Linked DNA regions of Sus scrofa. The protein of the gene in region 1 purifies or fractionates together with the protein of each later gene. This does not show direct contact. Links are inferred from orthologs where the notes say so. Each region holds a gene or a part of one and is shown on either strand. Other genes may lie near its edges.

Region 1 (3,747 bases):
TGACACTGCGCATGATCCGTTATTACAGAAAAGACTGTCTCTATCTTTGAAAGTCTTGCAATGAAGAAAGGTAGTTAGACTACTAAATCTTTCAATACACGGGCAGAACCTATTAGATATGATAGTGTAGAAAATTATATTTATTAGTTTTTTTAAAATTTTTTCTTTTTAAATCACATTGTACTTAATTTTTTTGAGACCTAAAAATAGTTTCTTGCTTCAACCATCCAAGACAGACTAAGAATAGGCTTGCTTTTATTTTATTTTTAATTTCATTTTTTATGGCTGCACCCATGCCATGGGGAAATTCCCTGGTCATGGATCAAACCAGAGTGATAGCAGTGACCCAAGCTGCTGCAGTGACAACACTGGAACATTAACCCACTGAACCACAAGAGAACTGCTACGCTTGCTTTAAAAAACATTCTATTTATTTTTTTCATTGAGGTATAATTGATGTACAATATTATATGTTTCAGATGTACAACATAGTGATTCAAAATTTTTATGTTATACTTCATTTATAGTTATGACAAAATAATAGCTATATTCCTCTGTGCTGTACAATAGTATCTTATTTATTTTATATAGCAATTGTGTCTATACCCATACCTTTCTCATAGCCCTCCCCCTGGTGACCACTAATTTGTTCTCTACATCCATGAGTCTGTTTCCTTTTTGTTGTATTCATTAGTTTGTATTATTTTTTTTCGATTCCACATGGAAGTGATAACATACAGTACTTGTTTCTGACTTATTTCACTTCAGGCTTGCCTTTTTTTTTAAGGGCCACAGGTTCAGCAAACGTAAATTTCCAGGCTAAGGGTTGAACTGGAGCTACAGCTACTGGCCTAAACCACAGCAACCAGATCTGAGCGACTACTACAGCCTACACCACAGCTCTCCACAAAGGATCCTTAACCCACTGGGTGGGGCCAGGGATTGTACCCGCCTCCTTATAGATACTAGCCGGGTTTGTCTCTGCTGAGCCACATGGGAACTCTAAAACTTGCTTTTTAAAGCAAAACTAGTTTTCAAAACGTGGCATCCTAAAAAACATCCAAGTTAAAAAAGTCCCTTTCTCTTTGTAGTACGTGTATGCACGAGTTTATCATATGCTTTACTCCATACCACTTTCTAGCAGGTTCTGGCCCTCCTCTGTGCTGCACTCTCGCGAGGGAGCCAACCGGCTGAACCTCTCCACTCCGCTCCTCAAGCACCTGCAGTGCCCCTCCCCGCCCCGCCCAGGCCCAGTCCTACCCAGACCCCGCCCCGCCCCGCCCCGCCCCGCCCCGCCCCGCCCCACCCACGACTCGCCCATCCTTCCCGGCCACCCCCGCTCCGCGTCGGCTCCCGCGCGCTGACGTCACACGGCCGCGCCGGGGACGCCCCGCCCTCTGCACTGGCTACAGATTTTGGGGCGCCGGGTATGGAGTCCTGAGCTTGAACTGCCCAGCTCTTCTTTGCGTCGCCCGGTGTCCAGCGCCCGCGTGGCGCGGCGCGGGGGAAAAGCCGGCAGATAGCCCCCAAACCCAATGAGTCTGCTTCGTGAGGCCGCCGGCAGCCGCGTCTGAGAAGTTGGGGGGCGGCGCCCGGGGCACTCCCCCCGCCGCCGTTGCCAGGGGCTGGGAAGCCAGTTTGTGCCTCCCGGTGGCGCGGACCGGTGTCCCGGGGCGTTGGCCCGGGCGGCGCGGGCTGCAGTGGGGGACCGGCAGGATCCCACCGCCACTTCCTGACGGGGCCGGGCGCTGCGGTCACGAACTCGGTTCTTTTTCAGGATGTCCTTTTTGGACCGCGGGAGAGTGCTTCTGCCTCGCTGACCCCGCGGGAATACGGCGACACGGTCGGCGCCTATCGACCCTCACGGCCGTTGCTGCCCACGACCTGGGTCCAAGGTGAGTGGCTCTCAGGGAAGCGGCGACGTGCAGAACAGTGCAGTCATTTTGGAAACGGGGAGCCCTTGTCTAGACTTTCTGATGTGGAGGTTGCAGGGATCCTCACCTGAAGTGCACGGGAAATAGTAACCGCATCTCTTCAGTGTTAATTCTCCAGGGAACAGTGTGCGTTACTAAGCAACTCTTTGACATTATTTAAAAACTTGCAGTGATAATGGATTTAAAATAATAGAAGTGTTGTTACCGGTAAGTCATTTATATTTCTTAGAATTTCTTCATGTATAATTTCTACATGCTTAAAATTTCTGTATGTAGAGAATTAAAAGTTCTGTTAGAGTTCATCGTAACTTTTTTTTATACAGGCCTAATTTTTATTTTCTAATATAAGGTCTGTCCCCAAGAAGCGGAAGAGTTTTTATTGCCATGGTAAATTACATCAGAAATAATCATATGAAGGGTTGAAGGTAATATCCAGTATATGCTGGTAATGGCCTTTTCTTATGATGCAGCAGTATTGTAGACACCATGGAGGGATGCCAGATAAGGAGAGAATTAGTTCTTTGTTTCTGCTGTAGATTTGTCTGACATTAGAGGATCCACAGATCTGTTTTAATATTGAAAGGTAAGGAGCCTATTTTGTGGGATAACAGGTTTTTGCACATTGAGTCACCTTTAGGCGTTTACTAAAGGTTACAGAAGTTGGCCACAGGAGTTGTTTTGAGGTCATTTTAATAATAAATTAGCGTTGTATTCAAAGTTAATTTTACTCTGTCTAGTGTCCTACCTCTAACCTAAGTCATGGACATGACACCATTTCATGAATATAAACTTTACATGTTGGTATTTTCCACTAGGAAAGTTGTTAATTGTTATCTGAATTGTCTTAGAGAGAGGAATAGACCTAAAGAGAAGAAAAAACGTATTTTGAAAAAAGTGTAATAGGAATTCCATTTCTGCTTTCTGCTTTTTTGAATTATGAGAAATAAGGCAGGGACTTCCCTCATTGAGGAGATATTTTGTCCCTCTCCCACAGTCCAAAATGGCATTTATTGTTTTAGGAGAGCTATATGTGTGGATTGCAGTTGCAGACTGTACCACATGGGCTTCTGGAAATCTGTTGACATTCCTTTACCATTGTTTCCCTTCAGGACATTTTGCTTGTCTGTCAAATAACTGAAAGAGCTGAAAAGGCTTAATGTTCTACATTGGTGGGGATACAGTTTTTCATTCATATACTCTGACATTTTTCACATTTGGTGCACAGAATTTTGCCATGTCAAATGTAGTTGTGGCTTAAAGACATTCTTAGTAAAATATGAGGAAAGATGTCTAACTTGACTACAGGCTATAATATTTTTTGGAGCTCAGTTGACATACTTGAAAAGAGTGATGCCACACAGAAAGATTTTGAATGTCAGCGTTTGAAGTTTGGAAATGGAGAAACTGTTGAAGAATTTTAACCCGAGAAATTGATTTAGGCAGCATTCTTCCTATTTCTTTCTGTCAGCGTTTATTATTGCTTTTAAATTTAAATTTTAGTTATGGTTTTGAATAGTTAATACAATCAGATGGTTTGAAATTTAGAAGGTAGAAAAAGATAGAAAGGCCTTTCAACTACTCAGTTCTCTTCGCTGAAGTCAGTCAGTATTACCAGTTTGTTGTGTATCCTTTCAGATGTTACTTACACAAAAGATTGCATTTTGTGTATGTAAATGCAAGTATTTTATATATACATGCACACGTGTATAAGTAAGTGTAAATATAAATATATTCAAATGTATTTCCTTTTAATACACAAATAGTATTTCACATTTCTTATTCTGGTGCTTAGAAATTAATCCATGTCAATTTT
Region 2 (3,747 bases), on another chromosome or scaffold:
GGGAGCTCACCCGTGGGTCTGACGTGGTGGATGGTCCCCCGGGAGGTTCTGCGCGTGCCTGCGTGGCACCATCTCCCGTGCACGCCCACGGGAGGCCACGCCTGACCTCTGCTTCTAGAGAGATCCTGAAGAGACGGGAGAGGAGGAGCAAGAGCAGCTGAGAAGCCTGCGACCAAGGAGGCATTTCAGGGTGAATGGGCCGCTGCAGCCCCAGGTCACCGCTACTCACCTGTGGTGGCAGGTGGGTGCCTCCGTGCCCATCCGGCCGTTCCCTATACTAGATTCTGAATGCTTAGCCTGCCACTGAAGACTGGGCTGCAGCTCCCACTGCTCAGGCCACCAAGTGGGTAGGAACAGCCACTGAGGGGTCTTGAGTTCTTCCACAAACTCTTAAAATAAAAATGGGTGGATGGAACGTCAACGGTTTCTAAAATGAAAAAAAAGAAAATGCAGCAGTTGTTAAACTACGGTGCGAATGCTTCTCTTTTTAGAATTCCCTGTGGTCTTCCTAAGGACAATGGCGGTGTTGGATGGGATGGGAGATCCTGCAGCAAAATCCCACTGTCCCCACTGAATCATGACCCCTCCTCACCACAGAGGTCCCTCCAACAGGGAGATCCTCCACAGCCCTGGGCTTCGGAGGTGACTCTGAGAAAGCCATCGCTGACCTCTGTGAAAGAAAACGATGATTCTGACCAGTTGGTAAAAGCGTTATTCAAAATTATTGCAGTGAGAGGAGAAAGAGAGCGCTCAACTCCAATTCAACAAAGACGGGGGATTTATGGCCAAGGCGCATGAGAGGCCAGTGGGTGGAAAGCTCCTGAGAGACGTGACGGGTAGGGGACTGAGTCACGGACTAGATTCCGCGGGAGAGGGGGGACGAAGAACGCATCAGGTGTCCGGGGTGATCGGAGATGGGCTGGGGTGACCAGCAGGATCTTTGCTGAGACCGGGCTGGGCGGGCCGAAGCCGGGACCGGGGCCGTGGGGACGAGGTCCCAGAGGAGGCCGGTCTCGGTCTCGTCCCCCCAGCAGTCTGAGATCCTGGATCCCTGTCCTAGCGCCCTCTGCAGGCAGCCCAAAGAACTTGACTTCTAAAGCATTCAAGTGCCGTGAGGGCTCCCTTCGGGCTGGCCGGTATCTTCGGCACCTGCCTCCTTCCGTAAGTGCCGAGACGAAGGGGTCAGGACAAGTCCTTTCAACTCTTTAACTCTTTGTAACCCGGGGCAGTTAAGAGCCCACCCCCTTGACGCTCGGCGAGGGCGGTGGGTCCCCAACCCCGGCGCGGAAGGATGACGTCAGAGCCTGGCCTCCCACTCTGCGCAGGCGCAAGACCGGCGGCGCGCCGCCGGGGCAGGGCGGAGCGGGCGGGGGGCGGAGCCAAAGCGCGAAGAGGAAGCCCGGGCGGCCCACTGCGCTCGCGCTGACCCGCCCCCTCGCCGGCGGCCAATGGGCTCTCTGGACCCGCCCCTGGCGACATAGGCCCCGCCCCCTGGAAACGCGCCGCGGCGGGGCCGACCACCTCGGGTTAGCGAGCGGTTCGAGAGCTCTGCCGGGGTCTGGGGTCCTGCGGCCGCCGCCATGAAGCTGACGCGGAAGATGGTCCTGTCCCGGGCCAAGGCCTCGGAGCTGCACAACGTGCGGAAGCTCAACTGCTGGTGAGGCCGGAGGCCGTCCTCCCCCCTGTCCGGCACCCTCTCCCCGGGAACCCAGCCCTAGGGCAGAGCTATCGGAAAACAGAGACCCCAGCCCAGCACCTCCGCCCTGGAGCGAGGACCCCCGCCCCGCATCTCTGCTCCGGGGCACAGCCGAGAAGGGCCTGGGAAGGATGCCGAGGATTTCAGGGACGGGGGTACCTCCGGCCTCACCTTCCTGGCCGTTGCTGGGTCCTGGGGGCTCACAGGATGTGGGAGTTGCTGCCATTGGCCCAGGCGGCCTTTGGCAAAGATCATTCCAGAACGTTCACCCCTCCTGAGTGAGTGGTGGTGTCTCATGCAAAGCTCCAAACCTGCACTCCTTGCTGGAAACAATTGGAGGGAGTTACCTGGGAGAAGCTGTTGGGCTGTAGAGAGCTGCAGTGGGGCCGACAGTTCCCTCCATGGACAGGTCTCATTTCTGACATGGGCAGCAGCCCCTGGGAGCCAGGCCTGATGAGGTGGGAGATCATGGGAATTAACACCTTTTCCAGGGGAAAGAAAGGAAACTGGGACCCCAGAGAGAAGCTTCAGCAAACATTTTTGTGATTGAGCCCTGGGGGGAGGGGCGGTCCCCACGAGACAGGAGAGATACAGGTGCTGTGGGGTCGGTGTCGGCTCAAAGGCAAGGCAGCCAGCCCTCGCAGAGCCAAGGCAGGACCCGAAGTGCTTCTGAAACTCCTGAAAGGTCTACACGTGTTCGCTGGGGATTCCGAGCACGTCTCCCAAGTCTGTACCCTGGACAGTTCAGGTGCGGCTGGGCACTCGGCCAGAGGCAGCCGCCCTCCAGCCAATGCAGCACATTGACTGCGGAGCTCTGCCTGTTCATTAAACAGCCTTTCTCTCTGCCCTGCACATCTGGCGTTTTGGCCACAACATCCCTGTGGTTTGTTTTCAATAATGCGTGGCGTTGTCGGGCTTGGCGAGGTCATCCTTCCAGAAGCTGCGAGGAACAACGGCCCTATTTCAGGCTGAGTGCGTTCACGAGTCGCGTGTTTGGGCCCAGAAGTGGCCTCTTACAAAGAGGCCCTTGTTTATCTCCCTCGGGGCAGCTGCCTTGAGAACCAGTAAGTCTTCGTGTCCTTCAGATGGGGTGGCCTCCGCCGTTTCTTCATCCGAGAAGGAGCCCTTCAGGATCAAATCATTTTGTCCACAGTCAACCAGGACTCGCTTTTGGCGCCTTTGTCAGTTATCCGAGAAAGCCTTCTTTTACTTTGTCATTGAAATCCCAGACTCTTACCGTTTATCATTAGTTTTTGGAATTTGTCTGCAACCTGAACAAAGTGAGAGTGTGTCTGTCTTTTCTTTCCCCAGGGGCAGCCGTCTCACGGATGTACGTATCACGCACACCATCTCCAGGTGGTCCCCGGCCCCCGAGAGGACTGTTCAGTTGACAGAACTGCACCCACTCAGTCCAGGCCCCGGTCTGGTACTTTGTGGGTTCAGCGGTTTTTGTAAAGCAGAACCACTCATGAAAAAAACAGTTCTAAAAAGGTCTGTGGCACCGGGGCTTATTGTGGAGTTCCAGCATTCTCCTGCGGGTGAGCGGACCGCCTCACAGAGGAGGGAGCAGGCCCCGGATGAGACCTCGGTTTACTGCTCCCTCAGCTGGGAGGAGTACAGCTGTTACAGGTTCCAGGACTTCCTGTCCCCAGGAGCTTCCTCACTTCAGCTCTGCCCCAGTCAGATCCAGCCTCACCGTCCCACCCACCCCCTTGGCAGGAAGAGCTGGGGCCTGGGGGCGGCAGAGCACCTGCTGAGCTGAGCCGAGGGTCTGTGAATAGATTTCTCCCCACCCCCACTCCTGGGATCACTGTCCCCACCCTGCCGTCTGCATGCCAACCCATGGGTCCTCGTTGACTTCTGTTTGGGGACTTGAGCGGTACCGTTCCTGAAAAACAAAGCTAGAAATGCTGAGCTGCTGGGCTGCCCAGAAAAGCTGATTCTGCCTCCCTCTCTAGCTGAAATGCTGCACTTAGCAGCAAAAACAAACCAACCCAAACAAATCTTGCGAACATGAAGCAATCTGACCAGACAAGGAGTTTGTTGGTCCC

Evidence for each region.
Region 2: the proteins of NEK1 (region 1) and C13H21orf2 purify together in Homo sapiens (affinity purification with mass spectrometry; 3 studies listed by BioGRID and IntAct, with this or other methods). This does not show direct contact. The link is inferred for Sus scrofa from reciprocal best matches to the Homo sapiens genes NEK1 and CFAP410.

The regions. Positions count from the first base shown.
Region 1 is NC_010456.5:20,143,297-20,147,043, forward strand, and holds the start of NEK1 (serine/threonine-protein kinase Nek1), read left to right. Parts: upstream 1-1,334; 5' UTR 1,335-1,427; exon of another isoform or gene 1,428-1,777; 5' UTR 1,778-1,895; intron 1,896-3,747. UniProt on the Homo sapiens protein: Phosphorylates serines and threonines, but also appears to possess tyrosine kinase activity. Involved in DNA damage checkpoint control and for proper DNA damage repair.
Region 2 is NC_010455.5:207,202,472-207,206,218, reverse strand, and holds the start of C13H21orf2 (protein C21orf2), read left to right. Parts: upstream 1-1,477; 5' UTR 1,478-1,580; coding exon 1,581-1,657; intron 1,658-3,007; coding exon 3,008-3,026; intron 3,027-3,747. UniProt on the Homo sapiens protein: Plays a role in cilia formation and/or maintenance. Plays a role in the regulation of cell morphology and cytoskeletal organization. Involved in DNA damage repair.